Regions from separate parts of the Mus musculus genome. Here all the other regions are reported to be linked to region 6. Evidence: microRNA targets listed by miRTarBase, many of them from high-throughput screens and not tested one by one. Region 6 holds a microRNA gene; each other region holds the end of a gene's coding sequence.
The links. The annotated mature microRNA mmu-miR-30e-5p reads UGUAAACAUCCUUGACUGGAAG and lies in region 6 at 1,856-1,877, opposite strand. An mRNA with a match to its seed (bases 2 to 7 or 8) in the 3' UTR can be bound and repressed. Matches are read on the target gene's strand: a 7mer-m8 pairs with bases 2 to 8, a 7mer-A1 pairs with bases 2 to 7 and ends in A, and an 8mer does both.

Region 1: the mRNA of Slc7a1 is a reported target of mmu-miR-30e-5p. Seed matches in the 3' UTR shown: 8mer at 1,406-1,413 and 7mer-m8 at 805-811.
Region 2: the mRNA of Cyrib is a reported target of mmu-miR-30e-5p. Seed matches in the 3' UTR shown: 8mer at 1,965-1,972.
Region 3: miRTarBase lists Trim44 as a target of mmu-miR-30e-5p. The part of its 3' UTR that is shown has no 7-base or 8-base seed match.
Region 4: the mRNA of Arid4b is a reported target of mmu-miR-30e-5p. Seed matches in the 3' UTR shown: 8mer at 2,982-2,989.
Region 5: miRTarBase lists Slain1 as a target of mmu-miR-30e-5p. Seed matches in the 3' UTR shown: 7mer-A1 at 3,108-3,114.

What each region holds. Positions count from the first base shown.
Region 1 is chr5:148,328,900-148,332,993 of GRCm38, forward strand. It overlaps Slc7a1 (solute carrier family 7 (cationic amino acid transporter, y+ system), member 1), which reads right to left. Exons shown (of 13, transcript NM_007513.4): 13 at 1-3,644. The coding sequence ends at 3,541. Among named protein-coding and RNA genes, the nearest start is that of Slc7a1, 69 kb to the right of the region's middle.
Region 2 is chr15:63,928,241-63,932,334 of GRCm38, forward strand. Cyrib (CYFIP related Rac1 interactor B) reads right to left here. Exons shown (of 13, transcript NM_001360036.1): 13 at 854-3,439. The coding sequence ends at 3,376. Among named protein-coding and RNA genes, the nearest start is that of Gsdmc4, 18 kb to the left of the region's middle.
Region 3 is chr2:102,300,862-102,304,955 of GRCm38, forward strand. Trim44 (tripartite motif-containing 44) reads right to left here. Exons shown (of 5, transcript NM_020267.2): 5 at 1-3,643. The coding sequence ends at 3,616. Among named protein-coding and RNA genes, the nearest start is that of Gm34268, 56 kb to the left of the region's middle.
Region 4 is chr13:14,197,224-14,201,317 of GRCm38, reverse strand. It overlaps Arid4b (AT rich interactive domain 4B (RBP1-like)), which reads right to left. Exons shown (of 24, transcript NM_194262.2): 24 at 1,715-3,712. The coding sequence ends at 3,585. Among named protein-coding and RNA genes, the nearest start is that of Gm26129, 110 kb to the right of the region's middle.
Region 5 is chr14:103,703,369-103,707,462 of GRCm38, reverse strand. It overlaps Slain1 (SLAIN motif family, member 1), which reads right to left. Exons shown (of 7, transcript NM_198014.3): 7 at 2,556-3,627. The coding sequence ends at 3,552. Among named protein-coding and RNA genes, the nearest start is that of Slain1os, 6.0 kb to the right of the region's middle.
Region 6 is chr4:120,770,805-120,774,898 of GRCm38, forward strand. It overlaps Mir30e (microRNA 30e), which reads right to left and starts at 1,893; the gene lies at 1,802-1,893. Nfyc (nuclear transcription factor-Y gamma) reads right to left here. Exons shown (of 10, transcript NM_008692.4): 5 at 2,868-2,963. It overlaps Mir30f (microRNA 30f), which reads left to right and starts at 1,802; the gene lies at 1,802-1,893.

The sequences.
Region 1 (4,094 bases), not on the chromosome of region 6:
GTCCACGCTTATCCTAGGAACCCGGTCTCTCACACTGCTGTTGCCAAGCTTCTACCCAGTGCTGGGCAAGTTCCTTGCTAGAGGAGACTATGAACACTCCGAAATTCAGAATGTCTGTGTGGGGTTAGGGCCAAGGTACAAACACGGCCACTGGTAATCCCAGCCCTATGCATGAGAGCATCAGGCAGTAGACAGGTGGAGCAGGGTACATATTCCCTTAGCTGTGCACACACCGGCTGTACCAGATGTGCTCAGGAGTTGGGGCTGGGGGTGGGGTATGTCCAACCCTTGGCTGCTAGGGGCAGGTGGAGAAACCTGCAGACACTTCTGACCATCAAGCCTCAGGCAGGTGCTTGGTATGTGGTTCCCAAGTCAAGTCACCAGCAGAGGGGATATCAGATGACAGGCAGAATTTGCATACTGTAAAACCAAACTGTGAACAACTGAAAACAGAATAAAGCCAGCAATCTTCCAGAAACTGCCCGGGTCAGACTCTCATTTTTTCTTTGTTTGCAAAATAAATCCACAAAGGCCTGGCTGTAGGAGATGGGCAGGGATGGGGGATGGGCCTAGGTGTGCACCCACCCTTCCACAAATATACACGGGGGTGTGGGGTGGGAGGGTTAATGTCTCTATAGACACCACCTACCACTACCACCATGACCAGGGCCACCTTCTGAAAGGTGGAGACATCTTGTGCCCCACTCCTGGGTATTGGCTTCTTCATGAACTTAGACCCAGAGACAGGAAGAGCACAGGCTCCTGGAAAAATGGGTCTTTTCAATGTGAATATACTAGCTGCAGGTAAACAAGGCATGGGAATGTGTCTTTAGAATGTCTAAGTTCCAGCTAGGTAGGAAATGCTGGCCATGCTTTGAAACCCAATGGGACTCTTCTTTGGGCAGGAGGCTAGGAGACGGGATACCACCTGCTGTTGGTCTGGAGGGATGTGTGTGTGTGTGTGTGTGTGTGTGTGTGTGTGTGTGTGTGTGTGTGTGTGTGTTGTTTGGGTTTGGGGCTTGTGTTTTCCTTTCAGAAGGAACTGGGGGCATAATAAAAAGCACATTAGAGGCTCGCTCCAGGCATAACTATATACATCATTGTTCCTGTGTACCCCCAAAAGTGTCCACTCTTAGTAAGAGCTCAGTGGCCAATCAACTAACTAGGCACACCGCCTTCAAGCATCTTTTCCTGACTAGGAAGTGGGTTCAGGATGCCCCCCCCCCCGACCCCACCCCACCCCGCCAGGGCCTGTGTTTGCTCCTGTGTCGCACAGGGAAACATATAGAACAGATGTATATATAGACCGTTGCTTGCGGTCCTCAGGAGGGATGGTGACAGATCAAACCCCTAGATACACACCTTTCCCCTTGGTGGGATACAAGCTGCTGGCTGAAACGTCAACTGTAAACACATGGTTAGGCTGCCTTAGACAGGGAGGTTTTACCCAGAAAGCAAGAGACAGTTCAGCAGGAGGAGCGGAGGCTCACGCCTATGCTCTTAGCACTCGGGAGCCTGAGGCAGAGGCCACACTGGGCAACGATAATCCTATTCCAGGCCAGCTAGAGTGTGAAACCTTGTCTCAAAAAAGAAGCCAAAGACACTAAACTTTAAAAGATTCTTCCAACACCTCACTGGGCCCTCTCTCTCTCTCTCTCTCTCTCTCTCTCTCTCTCTCTCTCTCAAGTAACAAGGAAAAAAAAAACCCAGACAGATACTTAACAGACCCTAAGAAGACAATAGGTAATCAAGACCCGAATAAAATAAGTTAATATTTATCAAAATATTTTACAGCACCAATCTACATAACTTTAAATACCTTTAGAAACTCAACATGTAGGGTCTTATAATACTCCCTTTGCAGTGTTTTCAGGCAGCCTAGGAGACAAAGTGCCTGGACGGTGGTCAGGGCCTGGCTCTTGGATGCTCAGCTGTCCTCCACTGGCTGACCCAGCAATTAGGTGGTTTCTCTAATCTCCCTAATTTTCCATACGTAGTGCTGGGGGTGGAAGCTGAGGCCCTGTGTAGGCTGGGGAAGTGTGCTACCACTAGGCTACACGCCTGTCCAGCCCCACTAACTCTTCCATTCTCAAGAATCTTCCAAAGCAGAGGAAAGACAGGGCCATCAGTCTACCTACTCAGCCTGTTTCCACCAGACTTGGGTCAAAAGCCAGACAGAAAAGAAAGCTTGGCTTTATAAACAGCATTAACATTAGACTAAGACACTAGGCTTCGCCACCCCAATATGGTGGAAGGGGGATGTGGGGTGGGGGAAGGGCACCCTGCTGGTTCTGAGAATCCACCAGCACTCTCAAGCAGTTTCTATCTACAAAGAGTAAATGAAGAGGTGTCAGCCCTCAGGCCACACCCCGAGAGATATGGAGCGTGGGGTGGGGGAGGGGAAATGAAGGGGAATAAGGTCCAGGCCAGGGTGGAAATCTCACCAGCAGCAGGCAAAGGCACCACAGCTACAAGAGGAATAGCAATAGGACCCCAAGCCATCTCCTGCGCAGGCCACACATCTTGAACCGCAAGCTGATATGGCAGTCGGTAATGATTTGGCTATCTTCCAAGGTAACATTAAGCCCCAAGTTAATCCAGTGGAGTGATTCACAGCAAGCAGCAGGGGGAGGACTCCGCAGTACTCCTTAGATGTAAAAGGCCACACAGATCACGTCAGTGGCCAGAAAGGCGTCACCACCCCACATTGAGTGCCACCTGTCTGAAGAACTTTAGAAGACCCGAGAGAATGAAATAACCCTACGGATACAGCCTTGTGTTCCAGTGACTCAGGACAGTGGGGACAAGGCGCCAAGAGCAGCAAAAGCCAACCCAGGCCTGCTAGGAATGAGACCAGAGAATGTCACCCTAGTCCACGCGGGCTGAGCTGGCCGTCTCATCTCGACACTACTGGTCACTCCAGGGATCTCCCGTCTTCTGTGCTCGAGATGAGCGGCTCACACCTGAACGGCTCACACCGTGCTGTGTTCTGCACAGATGCTTCTGTGCAGACCCGGGACCCCATCCTACCACCCCAGCCAGAAAGCAGTAAGATGTGGGCCTGTTCCTCCTCTTTAGGTATTCTGTAGTTGATGGGCTGTCGGGCAGCACTGTTGGGGCACATGCTTCCTCGCTGGGATAGTCTTGCATCTTGTGGTCAGGAGACTGTCCTGGGCTGACAGGGAGAGGCTCACTAGCCATCTGGAGTGTGCACATGGGCGATGCCAGGGTGGTCCCAGGGAGGGAGGGAGGCCTGCTTCCCAAGTGAGAGGAGAAGGGGGCCTCCCTTCTGCTGGGGCCGCAGCAGCGAAGCGCCCGGCCGGCCGGCAAGGAGAAGGGCTGCTTTCTTTGTTCAGAGGGAGATGAGTAAACCAAGGGACTGTCCAGAAATGACCAGGATCTCACGAGCTGGCAGCAAACCAGCTTTGGTGACATTGGGGGTGTGAGCTGATCCTGAGGCATGAGTGGAGAGATTGTGAGGGTCCCAGGCTTCTACGGGCACCCGTCAACCGCTGTCACCCTGGTGGGTGGGGCTGCACGTCATTTGCACTGGTCCAAGTTGCTGTCAGGAGTCTTTGCCTGGCCAGCAGCCAGGGACGCTTCCTCACTGTGCCAGATCCCATAACCGAAATAGATGGTGAAACCTACGGGGGAAAAGGGGACAGAAGGGTGAAGAGTGCAGGCAGGGCTGCCAGACCCGCAGGGGGGGCCCAGGTAGACTTCGACACCCGGAGAGGCGACACACGGCCCCGGATGGGATTAGCCAAAGTCACTGTCCTGCTTGCACTGTGTATATCCTGGGCGGTGCACAGGGGCTTCCCTGAGCAGCAGGCTGGGTGGAAGGTCACAGAAGACGTTGAGCTGTTTTCCACCACTAGGTGGCATCAGAGTACCAGAGAGACACTGTTCCTTCCCAGGTTGGGACTTCCAGCCTAGACTGGCTTAGTAGCTCTGATTTTTTTTTTTTTTCCTAAGTAACCCATTAGACTGAAGGAGACAGTCAACAAGGGCCGTACACAGTATTGACCCAGCATCCAGGGCTCTCCACATCTGCAGTGATGCTTTAAAGGACTGACCCACAAGGGACTGTGAAC
Region 2 (4,094 bases), not on the chromosome of region 6:
TGAACCCACAAGTCTTTCCACTGTCGTCTGTGATTACACACTCAGTTGAGGGGCTATTTAAGAATTTCTGGCATGCCAGTTACTGAAATCTCAAACAGAACCAGAAAGGCATTTCAAATCTAAGAAAGTACTTCAATTCAGAAACTTAAGATTTGAGCACACAGATGCCAATTATCTTCATCAGCCTAAAATACTTGCAGCCATCTTGGTGGCCCAAAATGCTAATCTAAATCTTTGTGAAGTGAGCAAATGGAAGTTGAAAGCACCATGCATCCATGACAGGGACTGAAGGAGAGGATGAAGATAATCACGAGTGTGCTTTGCTAGAAGATATGGTAGCTTACCCTGTTTTGAACCAGGAGCACATGGTCCAAAAGTAGGCTGGGATATATGCTGATAGAAACATCCTTTAAGAAAAGCAGAGGGGCAAAAGGAGGCAAGCTTTGTAGTATCTGCAAAGCAGGGTCAACTTCTGTACAGTGGACACGCAGACCCTTTGCTGAGGCTTGTGCTGTGCCCAGCCACAGAATCACTCACTCTAAAGGCAGTTTCTTAAGCAGAGAAAAAAAAATGATGACCATGCCCACATGCCTCTTGGATTCCATGAATGGAAACTAGCAGACCTGAGGCTGAGCTCACTGCCCAGCAGCAGCTCCTCCATCACTGCAGCAGTGTGCCCTATTACTCCAGGCTGTCAAACCAACGTCTTCTCTCAAGGAAAGGGACTGGCAAATTCTATACAGGGCCAGAACATACTTTAGCCTCTGATGGCCAAAAGATCTTTGTCACAATTTGATTCAATGCTGCTATAATGAGCAAATAGCCATAAATAATATATATATACAAATGAGGCTATGTTCAATAAAATTTTATTTATGAACACTGGAGTTTGAATTTCATATACTTTTCTCATGCTACAAAATATTTTTCAACTTTTAGAAAAACATTTGTTATCCTTTATTCTCCCGACATTTTAAAAATCATTCTTAATTCACAGGTTGTGTAGGTCCAGAGGGAGGTGAATTGGCCCACCGACTGGGCTACTGACCCCTAGGCTAGAGTTAAAGATTTTTTTGCCAACTTAATCTTCAACATGCAGAGTGTGAACCATGTTACCTGAAAGGCCACAGCAGGATTACTACATCTACTTCATTTATCAGTCCTCACTCACTCCATTCAATTACTCACTTGGCAGCTCTCCATATTTAGGTACTATGCAAGATCCTTGCTTGAGACACTGAAGGAATAAGACATGGCTCTTCTCAGGTTCTCAGTCTCTGCAGCATCTAGACATTGTAACTTCTCATGAGTATCAGAGAAGATATAAAAGTGTAGTGATGTATCAGGCTGTTTTGTGAGACAGTTGTATTCAATGCTTAAGTTGACTGTAACAAATTACCACAAACTAGGTGGCTTAGAATAGAAACTTATTTTTTTCATCATAATAGAAGTCTGAAATAAAAACAGCAACAGGGTCGCTTCCTTCTAGAAACTCTGATGGAAAGTGTTCCATGACCTTCTTCTGGCTTCTGTGGTCCAGGAAATTTCAAGATATGATGTTACCTTTGCCTCTATCCTCCCAGGACCTCCACTGCTTGTTTCCCCTTCTTTTCTCTTAAAAGGACTTGTCAGTAGGGCTAGGACCCACTCTCATCCAGGACGATGCCATACATACATAGGTCCTTACATTCACCTGAAAATGCCCTTCTTCAAAATGAGGCCATATGTACAGGTTCCAGACATTACCCTTTATGGAGTAAACTATTAAACCCATTATAACACTGTAGAAGCCTCCTGGAAGACATGGCCAATGTCATCTAAATGGTTTTTGGAGGAAGTAAAAGAAGCTGATTTTTGAAAGATGACAGCTGGTGTTGGTCAGACAAACATGAAGGAGAGAAGAAGGAAGACCAGGTTCAGGTTGTAGCCAGATCAGTTACGAAGCAACACCACACGGAACAATCTGTAAACAGCAAGTAGTTAAGCTTGGCTGGAGAGCAGGGTAGGAAGTGGAACACGAGTAAGCAGGAGGCCAGAGAGGTCAACAGGAACTTTACCATCAAGTGCCGTGTGCACCACAATCTGGCGCTCTGATGGAGAGGGTCCAGAGGGCAGCCTGTGATCATCTCCCATGGTTAAGCACTTTAACTGTGTCCCACCTCAGGTCACCTTGTCATTAAGTCCCTGACAAGGCTGAATTCGACAACTTTCAAGCAGCTTCTCTCAACTGAGACACATTTCTTTGCCTTGGGCTTTATGATTTTAAATTGTAACTCATGTCACTTCCTACGACCAGTGAGATCTCGGACTTTCATTTATTTCCTCTGGAAGTACTCTTATTGCTCACTCTCCTCCAATGTCAAGGGCTCCTCGTGCCTTCGAGACACCATGTGCTTCCTGTCACCGCCCTTTCATTCCTGAAACCGAGAGCTGAGAAAGTACGGGTTTCCTTCTATGACTACGCTCACAAAGATTAAATCAGAACAGAAGTCAAGTTAATGTCGACACAATCACTGGTCATCTTATACACAACAGTTTTAAAAGCAGTCTAACTTATGTACATAGACAAAAAGTAAAGCAAAACAACTGAAAAAGACATAGCTATTGCCTAAGAGAAAGAAAAATTATGTAATGTGTATATGCATTCCATAGAAATATATACAGGGAAAACTTCCAGAAACCTCAGTAAACCAAGCCACACTTAGAAAAAGGAAAGCTGATTTTTATTTTATCAACAGCCATTCTTAAACATGAACATGCATACGTAATATTCTACGCACACATCACAGTTTTTAACGTTAGTTAATAAATGTTAAACACACAACATACAACCTTAAAAAAAAAGTCAACCTGCAAACTTAAAACTTTAAACAAAGTCTTACTAATTTAAAAAAGGTTTTGTGTTGGGTACCATTTGTACAACACAGTTAATTTAAACATTTCCATTTTGGCTGCACATGAAAAAGCGGCAGTAGAAAATAAATTTATGAGGGTTTTAAATAGCAGAATAGGCAGTTTCGCCATGCAGGAGAAGCAATATTAAATATTAGTTTTCAAAAAAAATCCACATTTAAAAATATTTAGTTCAAGTCACAGAACTTTTCTCAGTAGAGACCTCAATGCAATGCGTAATTAGCTGCCTTAGATGGCCTGTTTTGAAAGGACAAAATCCCTTTCAAAGTATAACTTTACTGATTTTGGCACAGAAAAGAAGTCTTAAGAACAAGAACATGATTTAAAAAGTGGGAAGAGGAACAGAGGAAAGAAACCAAAGCAAGAATAAGGAGATTTGATGGCATTCACTAAGACTGTGCATTCTCGGTCACTGAAGAACACTGTGTGCTCCATCTGCAGTAGGGGCTTGCTCCACAGCTCTTACTGCAGCATGGACCTAATTTGCTTGGAGGTAGTCTCATCATTCAAATGTTTTGTTGTGTACCTATACAAAATAGAGAGAGAGAACAATGTTGGAAAATGAAAGTCTGTATGGGCTGTGTAATATGCCAAGATGAGTAGCTGATCACTCAATATCACAAATTCATGCCTTAGGGTGAGTTTTAATCCTGATCAGGCTCTCTCCCCCATCCAACAGGAGCAGCCAGTTTCTGGTCACTTGGTTATAGGGACCTCGTTGAAATGATTAGCCAAAAATCTGAAACAATTTCGCTATGTTTTACTCTATGCTGTATAAAAACAGTACCTTGAAATACTTACATTCTCTAAGTACCTTATTTCAGGGTAGGTACACTTTGAATAAGCGTATAAGTCCAAACTCAAAATGAATTCAACAAGATGAAATATTCAATTTTGAAATCAAATTGACTCTAAATAATACAACACCAGCCTGCAAGTCTCCGATGTCTTCCAGGAATTACTACCCAACAGGAGAAGGAAAGTGTAAGAAAGAGGCTAGTCAGGGGTAGGGCTCTGGAAAAGCAAAAAAATTATATGTGAAATGTTTATAAGCCAAATCAACCTATTTGAATTATCTTCTGAATACATTCTAAATCCAAGCATTGCAAGCCTGTCTGTCGCTGCTGATCAGGTACAATTTTAGGCTTCCTTTACTCCTTAGTATCAGCTCTTCAGTCGAA
Region 3 (4,094 bases), not on the chromosome of region 6:
TTCTCTGTGGGGAGAGAGGACTTCTTAGACCACTGACTACTACAAGGTTATAAATTCTGCAGCTCTAAACTCGGGCCCAGATCCAGGTCACCAAATGACAAGGCATCTACCATGTCCCATGTTATTAGACATGGTGGAAGAGGGCTGGGTTGTCGTCACCTTGGCTTGGAGCTGTAAGAGTTGACATCTACCACAAGTGGGTTATTCTGGAAAGCCAGCAGTCACACTCCAATTATCTGTTTATACTTTCATGGACCTAGTAGAAAACTTTGTGGTGTTAAGTAAGATCACCAGGGGCTGCTTTGAACTTCACTTAACTCTTAATTAAGTGGTATAGAATATGTGGGTGTGTACAAATCTCATTCTCATTTACACACACACACACACACACACACACACACACACACACACACACACACACACACACTCCAGGAAGGGAGTCCAAAATTAGTGATTTGTATTGGCACCTTCTCAGAGTACAAACATGGTAGCTGGGTTTCCTAAAACATGAAGAGTTGCTTTCTATAGTAATGAAGCAGGAGATATTTAGATAATGTTAGAAGACTACCATTACCTCCAACTCTGTCTAAAAACTTTACACTCTTGAAGGCCTTTATTTTCCTTTGTGGGGACTGTACCAAAAATCCAGCTCCTGGAAGGAACAATGAATACTTACAACATCTACTAGAGCAGAGTACTAAGGCCATCTTGATGTCTTTGAAAAAGAATTCCGAGTGTGAATGGGCATACTACACTGGGGGAACTGAAAGCCTTTCTCTCTCTCAATCTGTAGGTGAGTCATGGTGTGGGGCAGAGGGCTGACTGCAGAGCAGGGAGTGCTGTGCTCAAAACTGGTTCCATTGTTTGTTAGCAACTACAGACAAGTGACTTGTCCTCTGCACATCTACAGAGGCTCATTGCCTGTACTAAGGTTACTTACTCTTACTGGCTGTTAGAGCTGAGAAGTCAAGCACTTCTTGGAACTGCCCTAGATAGATATAACGGTATCAAACCAAACCAATGAACAAATTACTCTCAGCACTCAGAAACTTAACATTCAGAAGGTATCCAGGACTTGTTTGGAGGACCCAACTTATTTTAGAGACATTCATTACCTGTATCACTTGATGATTTGGGCAAACCCTGCTGTCCACAGTCTGTCAGGACACATACAACTCTGACAATCTTAACTCACACTGACCTGGAAAGGCAAGAAGCTTCGTTCACTATGGGGCACAAGGCCAAGTAAGAGGTCATAGCTTTGAGGACGAAGCTGATACCAGTACAGAAAGTATTCTTGTTCTTACATTGATAAATGCTGCCACTAGGAACTTAGGGATCTGGGCTAGGGGCTGCTGTGCTGTGTTTAATGCTTTTCTGGTTAAAGTTTTATCAGTGTTGAAGACAGCAGGAGCCCATAAAGTGAATCTGAAACCCTTACTAAGTAAAGGGAAAATGCTTTCCTTGAGGATTTCAGAGAGATGGTAATTTAAAGAGACAGGTTGGCAAATCTTATATTTCTGTTTATAACCACTGCATAAATGCTTGCATTCCCCAAATACTGATTTAAAGAAATAGCATGATTGGGTGGAGAGGCAATGATCTGTTCATTGCTAATATAAGGTCAACATGTAAAGATCAATGATTACTGAGAAAGACAAGACAAGCTTCCAAACTGTCAAGTCTTTTCAATCTTGTGATAGTTTACACTCTTTCTACAGTGGCCCTTCTTTTAAAATTTTGGCAGAACAGGATATCACTGGAGGTTGTCAACTCAAGATGTATTAAATTCTCCAGTCTTTGCAGACAGATGGTAAGACACCAAAATTGTCTAAGCCATCTACTAGCCACCAGCTGGGGAAAGTATACATATTTTTAGATCTCACACTCCGCTCTGCCCCAATATCCTTGTATGTGTGGTGAGTTTCAGTAATCCTAGCCTACAGCAGAGTGGCTTGGCAGTTTCCTGGCCTCAAAGGGATAAATCATTTTCTAGCATGCACAGGGCTGAACAATGACATAAATAGGACTCCTACAATAAGTCTATGCTGTTTCTGCCTCAGAACTATCCTGTACATACACATGTTAGCTGCCCCTAAAGCTTTGTGATAAGTACACAGGCAAGCTGGCTGACAGGAAAAGGGAGATGTACTACTCCAAGGTGGACTCCTTGGATCTGGAAGTCTAGACCTTGATCAACAGCAACCCCAAGGCTGCCTGAATCCAGTTCAGACAAAATCTCAAAGTGAACATGGAAATACCACACAAGCAGAGGAGATAGAATCACTGTCCACTTACAAATATGAGTTTCCTTCCAAGTTTCCTATTTTAGTTTAGCACTTTAGGTGTATGAACATTCTCTTGTATAACATAAGCATTTGTTCCATTAAAAAATATGGTCATCTCTTGACTTCAAATCATTTGGAAAGAAAAACTGATGTCTCAAGAAGATGTGGTGCTTGTGAGCTTGCAGTTAGTTGGGTATCTCCCAGCACACTTACTACTTCCTGGATCCTGAAAAGCATGGTTGTAAGAGACTGTGATCTGGGAGTGTGGGAAGGCCAGGAAACCCAGCTCTGGAGCATGCCTGGACATGCTACATGAAGAGAAAACTGGGCTGTGTGAGGTGAGCTGACGGCCTGCTGCAGGGGAAGGGAGGATTCCAATTATAGTAAATAGAGGAATGTTTGCTAGCTGCCAGGGAGGGACAAGGATTCCCCTCACAGTGCACTGACCACCATAGACTAACCTCGGAGTGAAACTGCTAAGTTTTACAGTGACAATCTCCACCTGCCAATATACATGCCAGCCTTTTATGTTGTGACAGGCCTGTTAATCCACACAGCTGGCCGAAGAATTCTGGGTTTTATCAGATGCTTTAGTGACCATTTTGGAAAATTGAGGCAATCTGAATTCTGAAACACTGATTTCAACCTTTAATCAGATTTCTGTGCCTCACCCCAGTCCTTAAGGTCATTTCCTTTCTACCTTTTCAATCATTTTCCCATTTCCACAGCACTGAATTATGAAACTTAAGTCCTAGATAACCTCACATACTAAAAATATCTTCTTTCTAGCTCTGGACTCTTTCTCCAACCCTATTTTAACCCAGTTGCCCTAACACTTTTCACAGAGGCAGAACTGGACTATGACAGACTGCCTATTGAGTCAGTTTGGCCCCACTTGGCCACATTTGCTTTAAGCTTCAGTACAAACAAAGTGGGTTTGTTTTCTGTTTGCAGGTAAGGAAAACTGATATCCTTTCGAGATGTTCTAGAACCTTCCTAAGGAAGTGATAGTGTTGACTTGCACAATATTCCAGGGGCTGGCTTTCCTGAGTAAGTTCAAAGCAGCCATTGGGGGGTTAGCTGAAGAGCCCTCCAAGTTGATCAAAAGGGCTCTTCCCATGACCTACCACAGAGAACAAGAAGCACACAGTCAGAATGCATACAACCCCTGGTCCCTTGGGAACATGTGTGCCTGCTGTGGATCTGGGGACATTTCCAGTAGAAGAAGTTTGTTGCCTGGCAGCTTTCACAGATATCAGAAGCCATTACATACACGCTGTCACACACACACGGGGAAGGGGCGTTTTCTGCAGGGAATGCTAAGTCTTCATGTGTCCTCTTCTTCACTGGCACCGCTACAAAGGAAAAGGAGAAGCAAGTGAGTTCAAACGTCACAGAAAGGAGGCAACGCAGTACAGGTTGACAGCTTTGTGCTGCTTCTATCATGACTGAGCAGTAGGCCCACAGCAAAGTGTCTTAGTTGCTTTGATTTCTGATTTCTAAATTTAACTACCGTTGTCATGAAAATTTACAAAAAAAAAAAAAAAAAAAAAAAAAGGACTTACTATCTTGGGTTCTGGGAGAATCAATTAAGAACACGTGTAAAATACACAATGCCCAGTATACAACCAGTAAGTAAAAGAGCAGGAAGATTGTCAGACTGAATTTTAAAATTTTAATTAACAAAATAAACTGCTGGTAGAAACCAGTTTTATTTCCTCTAGGTGTTAAGACATCTATTATTAGATCAGAAAACCAATCATCAGCAGCATCAGCAGCAATCAATCAATTGCACTTTGCCTTGGG
Region 4 (4,094 bases), not on the chromosome of region 6:
CACTTCCGGACTCCCACGAATCTCACGTTCCCTCTGGTCCCAAGTTCCAGTCACTTCCGAGATGGGGCCTTGTCCCTCCATTCTGAACCCTTCTCCAAGCAGGCTGTGGCTGATCGGGACTCAGGAGCTGGGGAACTGATGGTTTAGGTCTCCTGTTTGTCGTGCTGCCCTGAGCCGATTAGGGAAACCTGGACTTGGGTGTACAAGAAGTCTGAAAAGCTGGCCATGAGCATGCGATCATCTCCTTATGGGTAAGTTGTAGGCCAACTTAAATTGACACGTCAATGATCAAACTGCAGCAGAGTGTGTACATTCCTCCTAGCCTGTTCAGACCTATTCTCATGCCTCAACTTCATGGTTTAGATGTGATGCATCGAAGCTCAAGAGTATTAGGTACAGGAGTCAGTTGGATCAGGTACAAGTTCACTGTCCTCATTCTTCAAGATTGTCTTCAAAAGCAAGAGCAATTTCTGGCCAGGAACCCACCTCTGTTCTGCCAGCCATCAGTATTACGTGCAGCTGGGGAAAGGAATACTAAAGAGAATGACAAGGGCCATGCAGCACTCTGTTGAGACTCCCCCTTTGTCGGTCCTTGTTTTCTTACCTGTGTAAGAGGAGAAAGGCAAGCTATGGAGTCTTGAAGACTCCTGGGCTCTGACTGAAACACCATCGAGTTTGTGCTACCACCCCCTTCCTCTCAAGTGGCAGCACATTTTTTGATACCTAACCCCCGCACTGGTTGCAGTGATATAGTACAAATTTGTTAGATGACTTTCAAGACCCTCTGACTATAAGCCCATCTCTTCCACTTTCTTCCTCCTTAAGTGCCACAATGAACATATTTGGGAGCAAGTGGCTTAAGGCCAGGTGTAGTGTACACACCTCTAATGCCTACACTTAGGAGGTAGGGGCAGGTAAATCTGAGTTGAAGGCCAGCTTGGTCTATATAAGAAAGGACTCTACACTGAGAGATTACAGATTAAATTGCTTCAGTGTTTTTTTTAAAAGATAATATACAATATATCAGGTAAATTAGGGCACCTTGGAAATGGGGAGAGGCATACTGGCTGGTTTAACAATGATTACTGGATTCCTGTAACAGGTACAGAGGTGTTACTCAAAGCAGAGCCAGAAAGGCTCCATCATATTAAATGACAAGAGACACTGTAGGTAATAATTCTGAGAAAAATAAAATTTTTTAAGAAACTACTGGTCTATAATACTGGCACTTTGAGTCTCAGGCAGAATTGAGAATCTGTGAGACTGAAACCAGGTTGGGCAATATAGCAATTTTATTCTCAAGAAAAAGGAAAAACAAGGTTTGTTTACTGAGACAGACTCCGTCTGTAGCTCAAGATCTAACTGCCTCAACCTCTTGAGGCTGGGGATTACAGGTATGGGCCATTATACACTGCAGAAACATCCTTTTCTATTGTGTATTTTGTGTATGTGAATGCAGAGGATAACTGCAGGAGACAGTCTTTCCTTCTACTATGTGGGTTCTAGGGATTGATAAATCAAGATTGGTCATCAGTGCTTACCTCTGCTAGCCCCAAAATATAGTTTTAAAATTGTACTTACCTTTTTCCTTCTTTGGACAATGCCCCCCTCCCCCCAACTGTAACAAAAAAATCTGTATTCAGACTCTAGCAAAGTTATATAATAACAGCCTAAAAACATCACTTTACTTACTTTTTTTTTTTTTCTTTTTTTTGAATTTACGGTTTGATTTGGTGCAGTGCTGCGAACTGAAGCCAAGGACTGGAGCACACTAAGTACATGCTATACAACCCAGCACTGTATAAAGGGACTTTTAATTTTGAACAGCGGAACACTCCCTTTGGGATACGGATGTGAGCCCTTGTGATAGGTAATACAGGCTGCATGGACTCTCAGCACTCATCACATACAAAGTGAACTCAAATTACTTTACCTTCTACAAACAAAATCAAGGATTCACAAACTATGGCATTTTATTTCAGAGCTTTTGCTTACATTTGTACAATATATTACATAATTCATCATGTTTGCAGATCCTAATATATACTTTATAGTTTTATTCTATAAGTTTTTTCTTCAACATTTTGCTGTCAACAAATCTTTACAGTCTGTACAAATTTGAGTAATTTGAAATCATTTTTCAACAAAATTAGTTACTGTAAGCACACATTACAAGACTGAAAATGCTTTTCTTAGAAAGGTTCAATGTAAAGGATTAAGGATTCTGACACGTTAGCATCTACAACAAAACGCTTCGAGATTCTCACATGTATTGCCAGAAAACAAATAAAACATGCCAGCCTCATTCAAAAAAAGCACACAGAATCACAATTAAAACAGTAAAACGGTCTGTACAGTGAAGTACTGTGTATTAACAGCGCCAGGTTTTAAATAGCCTCAATGAACACATCCGCAATATACAAATGTATTACAAAGGTGGGGAATTAAATACAAGTGCCAAACAGAGATTGGAATCATACAACATAAAGTCAATACAAGTGAAAACAGCTTGGCGTTCATTCTGCAGTTTATACAAGGCATTGAATTGTATAGGCCTACTACCCAACTAGCTACTTATACTTAAAATAATAACCATCTTTGTGAGGCAGGTCATATAAACAACCTTGAACCATTCTAACAGTTTGTTCCTGAAGTCTTTTTGTTGTAAGCTCATAATAAAATAAGCAATACAAATGAATTATCTGTATTTAAGGGAAAAGAAACATTTACAAGAAAACACAAAAATATAACTGTTATAATTCATTATGAATAAATATACACTTTGAACTGGCTAAGTACAATCTTTATACATTGTTTAAGATTTAATACAGTTTATTAGCCATTTTCTTTTTTCACACAATGTATTATATCAAAATTAAAAAAAAATACTGATTTATAGAAAAATGGCAAAGTACAGTAGTCCCATTTCAATTTGAAGGGGTGTGAAAAGCCACCACAGACCTTTTAGCCTAATTCAAACCTGTAAACATGTTCAGTCATTTTTAAAGAGAATCTTTAATATTTGGTTACCAGGATGATGTCTAATAATATCCTGTTAACTAACTGCAAGTCTTGAATTTGTTACATGTGCTTGACTTATACAATTAAAGTCACCCTAAAGTGACTTGCTTTAAAAAACAATTAGCTTGTACAAATGAAAATAGGTTCATATTTTTAATAAATGAATGGAAAAATATCAAATGTTCCAGCTTTAACAAAATACAAGGGAATACATATACAGTAAGTCTTCTCACATGTTCTGGCCCACCTTTTCTCTGCCTACTGTGTCGTCTCTACAGGCAGTGAAAAGCCTCCTCTGCCACAGTGGAAGGCCTTCAAGTTACCAGACACACGCAATTCCCAGACAAGTTGGAAACAATTATTGCTTGAGGAAAAGCAGTTCGTTGTACTTTTTCTTCATAAAAAAAGTGCACTTAAGTGCCAAGTCAGCTTGTCAAGAAATAATTTTTAAATATAAAATAGTGCTTGTCTGATTTTGTGTGTTTGTGTGCCACTGTGCAGTATAAAAAAAGATGTGGCCCTCAACAGCCATTAAGTGCAAAGTGCTCTAGCAAGTCCTGCTGTCACCTGCACTCAACTGACATTCCATTCTGTGATGCACTGGACATTGATGGTTCAGCTAGTGTCAACATAACAGCAGCTGTGATGGAGCTGGACGAGGGAGAAGAGGAGGAAGAAGATGTAGCAGCACCTGAGAAGAAGGAAGAGCACACGTGAGGCTACAAAGCAGGCTGCACTGGGAAGATGCAAAAAGCTCACTCAGCTTCAGCCTAAACTTCTCTTGTGTTCTCCAAAGTCAGTGTATAGGAGCCATCCCTGCACAAAGTACCACAGTATAAAGAAAGGGAAAGCCAGCAGCAGACTGTTGCCCATCTGCAAACCACAGACGGCAGAGCTCAGTGGCAACGGACTTGATGGGATTACAAGGACATTGGTTCTATTCCTAGCCCTGTCAAAGGAAAAAGAAAGCAAGGTGGAGAGGGAAGAGGGAGGGGAGGAAAGGATTTGTGTATACATACTGCAGAACACATAATTAAAGAGTAACTTTGTTCACTAACTACCCACACAGTTTT
Region 5 (4,094 bases), not on the chromosome of region 6:
GAGGTCCTGAGTTCAATTCCCAGCAACCACATGGTGGCTCACAGCCATCTGTAATGGAATCTGATGCCCTCTTCTGGTGTGTCTGGAGACTGTGACAATATAGTTACATATATAAAATAAATAAATCTTAAAAAAACAAACAAACCAACCATGGCAGGGCTGAGAGACAGCTCAATATTTATGAACCAGTGTCCAGTCCAGTGCGGGTTCCCAGCATCCACATCAGCCTGCAGCCTGGTTACAACTGCTCAGAAAGGTGCTCTGATACCTCCAGACTCCTCAGGAACCTGTTTGAATGTTCCCTCTCTTCCCCCCTCTCTCTCCTCCGACCCCATCTCTCATACACACACACACACACACACACACACACACACACAAGAAAACACACAAGTCTTCTTTTAAAAAATTGTAAAAACTCAAGTAAACAAAAATCCCAATGGCCTGGCATACTGTAGTAAATAAATAATTCTACTCATCAAAATACCTAAGAGAATTAAAAGAAAACACATATAAATGAAAAGGGCTTTTAGAAAAAAATAAGAAACATTGTAAACCAATAAAAGCCATAGAAAAATGAGCCCGAACAAGGATCTATAAATAAATATGTATGAGCATTCAATAAATGAATGAAAACGAAAGGATATTTAATCTCACTAGCACCCCAGAAGATGAGAATGAAAACCACAGAGACACTAACACGCCTCCAATTTAAATATAAAGATCAGCAATGCCATCACCTTGGGAGAACTGGACCTTCTCACACACTGCTGGAAAAGTGTGGAGCTGTACCACTTTTGGAAATTAAACGGGCACACATCCGACGAGGGTAACAGAAATGTTTTACAGTTTCTACAGGGGCCTCCACAATTCTTATCTCTAGATACTTACACTCTTGCATAACTCCTTCCTCTTGAAGACTGGACCTAGTGATAAGCTTTTGATGAACTGACTGCAAAAGTGGTAGCATGCCACTCTGCAGACGAGGTGTGCGGGCTCTCTGCTTTCACCATGTTGCTGTCCACAATTGGCTCTTCCCTTCCATTCTCCACCAATGCCAGTCACGGTACATCAAGTCAGAGATTGATTCTCAAAATTCTTCTTCAGAGGAAAGTCCAAGACCTCACTGTGGCCTACCTGGGCTTGGCTGTCACCTCCCTGATCTCATCCCCATGACTCTCATCCTTGTTCTCCAAATCCCCCAAAGACACTTCAGCTACTGCTGTGGGGACCAAGTATGACGACCATCCACGTATCCACTACATATTATGCTTTAAGTATGCTTCTATTATGCGTATCCTACAGTGAAGAGTGAAGACATCCACGATTTTGTGTTACATAGAATTTCCAGACGAAAAACATCAGGAAGGCTCTTGAGAACCGAGGCTCTAAGTTTTTGTTCAGTGCAGAGCGTTCATGACATCTGCCCAGCTGTCTGTTTGCACAAGCGATTTTTATGATGTCCAATGTTTTCTCTGCTTTCCTTACCTGAGCTACTTCTACGTAGCTCCACGACTCTCAGGATGGAGCAAGGTGGTTTAGTAACTTGTTTAAGGTTTTACACACTCGAGAAGAAGAATATAAAATCCAAGATGAAGATACCTTCACCTCTAACCCCTAAAGGGAATAGCCAAACTGAAAATCCATTAAATCCTTTAACTCTGTTCAGAATAAAATATATCAACTGATATGTATATATATAAATATATATATATATATGTATATATATATATATATATGTGTGTGTGTGTGTGTGTGTGTGTGTGTGTGTGTATACGTTTATGATATATGCTAACTTGACTACACATCTTCACAGGAAAGAACATGGTAGTAAAGAAAACGACGTCTGAGTCAGACGGACAAAAAGCAGCTTCACAGATTCCCAGCCAATTGCTCTCCAAGGCTGACATTGCCTGAGATGCAGAGTCTTCAAGGGGGAATAACAGTGTGACTGATAGATTTTAAGGTCAATTAATGTAAGTAAAACTGCCTAACATGGATGTTATCACTAAAGACACGCCTGGTAATTATTATTTCCTCGTTCATATCCATTTCCAGGTACCTATCAATTTTCAGTAAATGTTACTTCTACAAGCTGTTTCAGCTCTGTATAGAACGATGTACAGAAAAGTTAAAAGCTGATGAGTAACCACAGACACCCTTCACAGCTTTGGTGAAGCCATGCTGTCTTCACAGGAGGCCGTTCACAGATCAGTGGCAGTATTTTCCTATTTTACCTACACTGAGAAGTTTTCTAACTCAACATCCCAAGGCTGCTCGGGTCCCCAGTGACACTGTGCTCATTCAAAACCCAGTCCTCAACAGACTCTGCTTAGTGGCCTTTCTGGGACCAAATCTTGTCACACAGCTAAGCCTCGGATTTCTTATCAAACTAATTGTGGAGACGAGAAAATGTAATCTTTACAACTGGGCTCTCCGAGTGTGTCGGCCACGCCCCCGTCCACGAACACCACCTCGGCGCCTGCTTCCCCAGCTGTAATGAAACACGGGCGTGGGAGCCCCACTTCTGATGCTGCACATTCATGCGTGAGCTGATATTGCTGAAATAGAGTCTTTATTTCCGAACATTCCAAAACAGCAGTGTACACAGTAACAAACAGTAAGTCATAGACCCTAAGAAAGCATTCATTAGTGCAAATGGGTTTTTGTAAAAGGTCTATCAAAAAGATTTATTTAAAATGCATTCGTTTCCAGAAGCATTGTTAATAAAACATTACAGTTTCATCCTTTGTAATAAAGTATTGAAAATCAATTGTGTGGTTGAGTAGCAAACATTGCGGGTCTTAAGTGCAATGAGCTTGTGATACCATCATAAATATGAAACTCATGTAAGACAATAAATTAACAATGAAAAAGACAAGACCGTTTAACTCTGCCGTCTGGCTGTCTCCTTGCAACGCTTTAGATTAAATTGTGCTCGTTCAACGTAAAATTATGTCTCAAATCGTATGGTGTGTTTTTGCTGATATATCCCTAGAGCTAAAAAAATAGTACCTTACCACAAAAATATTTTTATGGCACAAAATTTAAGTTGTTCCATAGTGGTTCACATAGGCATAAAAAGAAATAGGCACAAAAAATAAAATTCCTGTAAACTATAAAAAATTAAAATTCAAACCATGTTATAGAACCTAGTTGTAAATATGCAATGTATTAAAATGCAGAACATGTAATGGAAGGTGTTTAAAACATGTAGGTAAAATGAACAAGGTACTTTTAAAAACCTCATATGGCAAAGCATTATTGATACGCCTCAATCTCTCTCAAAAAGTATTCAGATACGGAGCAGTTCTACAAAAACTTCCTAGATCTAAGGTAACGATACCGCGGCCGCGGGTTTGGGAACGCCGCAGTATCTCAGGCAGAGAGTAGGTGAGCTCGTTAGTCTCTGGTGATTGGTCCACTGAAAACGATGCCGTGCGTGTGGTTAGCGTGAAGGGGAAAGCATCCCAGCATCCATGGTTACCCAGCCAGCTAGGTAACACACCCTCATTTTCACTTCTTCCCATTCTTCAAGGGTCCGTAAAACTGCATCAGTAGCAACCGTCTCTCCAATTTCCATCCCTCAGTGTGCTGAGTGAAGACAGAGGCTTGGGAGGCTGCAGGAAGCTATGAAGAGAGGAAAAGGCAGACGCGCTGTTAGTAATCCCGCCAGGCACATGACTTGCTCTGGTCCCCTCTCCCATCGGGGTTCCTTCATCCCATAAGGACAAGCTGTTGGCACTGTCACAAATGTGTATCAGGTTATGTCCTTCAGGCTTCTCCTAGTGTCTGCCTGTCTGCTGGAGCTGAGGCCTGAGCAGAGTCACATGTGTGCACGTGCACAAGGTTAAAAAAAAAAAGATAGAAAGGAAAAGGTACGATCCTTGATGGAAAAACAGCTACAAGCATAAAGCAGCTTTGTTGAGCACATGCATACATTCTTAGCATTTGAAATATTTTTTCTATGATAGCAACAAAGAACTGAAAAGTAATTTTGAAATATTTCAGGATTTTGAAAAATAACTTTGAAAATCCAATGTTTTCTCAAGTTTGAAGTAAACAAATCCTCTTCATATTCTATGACGATAGAAATC
Region 6 (4,094 bases):
TGAACAAGGGTTTTGTTTTGTTTTTCCAAGATAAAAAGCAAATTCTTTAAATACTTCTGCCAGAACCCAAAATAGTGCTTTAGCAAAAGCTCTCAGGCAGGCAGGTAGCCTCTCCCATGTTTTCTACTGCATCCTCTCAGGTAATAATGACTTAGACAGTTTCTAGAACACTGTTGTCAGGACAAGCATGGCTATTTTCAAATTGCTGTGATGGAAGGAGGCACAAGTAAGGTTCTTCTGCTTTATGAAGCACTCATTCTGCAAATGGAGATCAAGCCAGCAGGAAATGATGATGCTTGATTTAAAGAAATGGGTGAAAAGATAATGACATTTCAATGAGCAAGGAACTTTCAACTCATAGCTTAGTCGGGGAGAAGTCAACCCTCAACTACCATCTACTTGCAGACAATCTACTTACTTCCATGGCAAAAAAGAGAGAGGGAGACTCCAAATCATCTCTGAGAAGCCTCATAATCCAGTGTCTCCCTTTCCAGATGGATCAGCACCAAGCCCTAGGAAAACACCTGACCGAATAGGTCAGTACAGAAAGGTACCTGCTCCATGCTAACACTCAGTACAGAAGGGTACCTGCTCCACACTAACAGTGGCTTCTCCAGTGCTGAGACTGAAAAACAGTGACAGTGAACAAACAGTATCACAGCACAGGGTCATCACTACACTGATGAGCAGCCAGCTCCAGACTAGGGGAAAAAATACATTTGCTTTAGTGGCAGGGTGAACTGCTGCCTCCTTCAGAGGGTGTGTTTTGGAGAGTAGGCACTTTTAAAGGACTTTAGGAGGTGCCAGCCAATTTGGAGCTTGGGAAAACTTCATGTCTACAGAGAATTAAAAAATGCTATCTTAGAATTTCAGGCCAGCTTTCAGCAATCTCAACCTTTTAAATGCCAGGCAGCAGCTGTCCTGAATAGGATGCCAATCAATAGCTCAAACACCTACAAAGAACTAAAACCAGGCAGCTAAAGGAGTGTTCTTGCTGTATACCTTTTAAAGGGAGATGGACTAAGTATAGTGGTCCATGCCTTGAATCCCAGCACTCAGGAGGCAGAAGCAGATAGATCTCTCCGAGTTCCAGAACAACCTGGTCTACACAGTCTAGTCTAGCCAGGGATACACAGGGAGAGCCTATCTCAAAAATCCAAACCAAACCAAAGAACAAAAGAGGGAGATGGGGTAGACCACCAGCAAATCTAACACCCTGACAGACCCAGAAGAACAAACAACTTTGGAGGAAGGTATAGGTCAGCAGCTCTCAACCTGTGGGTTGTGACCCCTTTGTGGGATGGAAAGATCCTTTCACATGGATCACCTAAGACTACTGAAAAACAGATAGTTGCATTAAAATTCATAACAGTAGCAAATTACAGTTATGAAATAGCAATGAAAAAAATTTTATTGTTGGGAGGTTATTACAACATGAGGAACTGTATTAAATGGTGCAGCATTAGGAAGGCTGAGAACCACTGGTATAGGATAATAACTTTCTCTTTAGTCATCTATTCAGCAGGCAGCCCATAGTGAACAATCAGTACAATAAGAGCAATGCCTGACTGCATCACAGATCTTACCACCTTGTCTTTAAAGGAAACTCCTGGTGGATACATGGGAGCAAAAATCCAATAAGGAAAACAGGCTCATGGTATTATCAGCTCCAAACGAAGAGAGACAGTCTGAGTTCTTGTGACTTCTCAGAGAGAAAGGAAGTAACCCAAGAAAAGGAGACAAGTTCATGGGCACAAACCTGCAATGTCTCAAAGCCGATGAGCGCAGCCGGGGACGACTGTGGCAGCCTGCCGCTGTAAACATCCGACTGAAAGCTCCTCTCAACACCTTACAGCTTCCAGTCAAGGATGTTTACAGTAGCAAAGACTGCCCAGAAAAATAAAGAGCTTCAGTGAGGCACAACCTGCTCCCATAAGGAGGTGACCCAGGGCTTGCTAACCCAAAAACCCTCATGCAGGGTCAGAATTAATGTCAATTAGGATGCCCACTTCTCCAACAGGTTTTCTGACTGGTTATTTGTACAGGTCAACATGGGGAGAATGGTTGTCATTAAATGACTCTAAACAGTATACTACAAAATAATTAGTTAAAAACACTTATATTTTATGAACAAAAATAAAACAAGCAGGACATGGTATGGCTTTACTTCTCTGAGGCATATTACACTAAACCTAGTGAATCATGCAAACTGCGTGCCTGAAACAATGAGCTCTATAGGACTGGGGTCTATCACAATCACAACTAAGTTATATGCACCCAAGTGCTGAACAAAACAAATGGTGTGATCTTTGGAGATGAACAGGCAGAAGAAGGGCAGACACTTAGTTCTTGTAATTAAAAAGAAAAATGTAAATGGTGGTTCTAAAACTTCACTGGACACCAAAGCATCTAGGGAACTTTAATTATTGATTCCTGGGGTCATGGGGTCATAGGTTCTGACTCAGTGGATGATGGGTAGAGTCATCACACTACAGAGACACAGCATAGAGTAAGAAAATAAAAGCCACTGGCTCCAATCTGATCACTATGCACAAAGAGGTTGTTTCTTAGAATCTGAAAACTGACTGGCTGAAAAAGCTTTTATTTTAGATGAAGAAATCCTGAACTGAGCTTCACCCCACTATCTGTGACTAGTCTTTTTAACTTTGTTCTCTCACTGCAACCCCACCCCAGAGGCACTGAGTTAAAAGTACCCATAAATGAGTAGAAGGAGATGCTGAGGATGATCTGGACTACGGAAGAGAACCACAAACAAGAAATGCTTTGGGTGGGAGGGAGGGAGGAGCTCCGGAGAGCATCTTGCCCAGGCCCTGGAGGTGGCAGCTGAGCAAATCCTCCCAGCTCACCTGGCGCTTTGGAGGTTTCAGTTCATCTCTTGGAACAATATCGATGAGAAAGTCGAACTGATCAAATTTTGTAATTGCCATGGCAATATCATTCCTCTGTAACAAAGAAAAACAAAGTTAAAAACTGGCCTAGGAAGAATCTAGTTCTTTTGGCTGTTATCCTTCAAGTAAAAGGACATGATCCTCTCCTATCCCCTAGTCCCAGTGTCTGGGATTAAACCTAGAGCTTTACACAAGCTAGACAGGTATTCTACCATTGAGCTATGCCCCAGCCCAAGGAGATGACTTTTAGACTGTACTAAAAATCTCTAGGTTTGTCTAGAGCTAAAAATAAGAACAGCTCAATTTATATCAGACTTGCTGGACAGAAATCAACGAAAGAGATACACATATCTCGTGCTCTAGGCCAGGACATCTGAGCCCTACTCACCACTATTTCTGCTTGTTCTGGTTTCAAAGCTTCCATAAAGTTGTAAAACCACCATCCTCTGGCTAATTCAGGACAAAGCCAGCAGTCTCAACTGGCATTCTGTGGTCCACAAGGTCAGCCCATCATTCACTTGTATGATCTTTTTAAAGGCCCTAAGCACTGTTTGTTGTTGTTGTTGTTGTTTTTCTTTTTACAGGCACTTATAATCCAGTCGCTTGATTTTTATGTTACCTATGGGTTTTAGTTTAGAAATCAAAACTGCACTGCTTAATGAATAGTTTAATCCGAATTTGAGCCTGAATACTCAAGCCTGAATTTACTATAGGTAGGTAGTGAACACAGAGCTGAAAAGAATGTCACAAGTGGACTTTCTCTTCAAGTCTGATATTATTCCCCTTCCTTTGAATAATAAAAATCAACACTTTTTCTCCCATATGATTTGTGTACTTTATTGAAAGTTTTAAGGTTAAAAAAACAAAAACAAAACCACTAAGCTCAAGTGAGTGATATAGTTAAGTATATATGGGAAAGTAATTTTTGAAATGTATTTAAAAATAGATCACTTTATGGCTGAAGTGAGAGGTATGATAAATTTGTTTTTCTTACTTTATTTATTTATTCATTCATTCATTCATTCATTCATTCATTTCCCCCCTTCCCTTCTTCCTCTTGCTCCTGGGCCCCACTTGCTCCCGGGACCCACTCACTCCAGTCCATAGGTTTTTTTGTTGTTTTTGTTTTTTGTTTTTTAAAAGTATTATTATCTGTTTCTCATTATGGATGGTTGTGAGCCACCA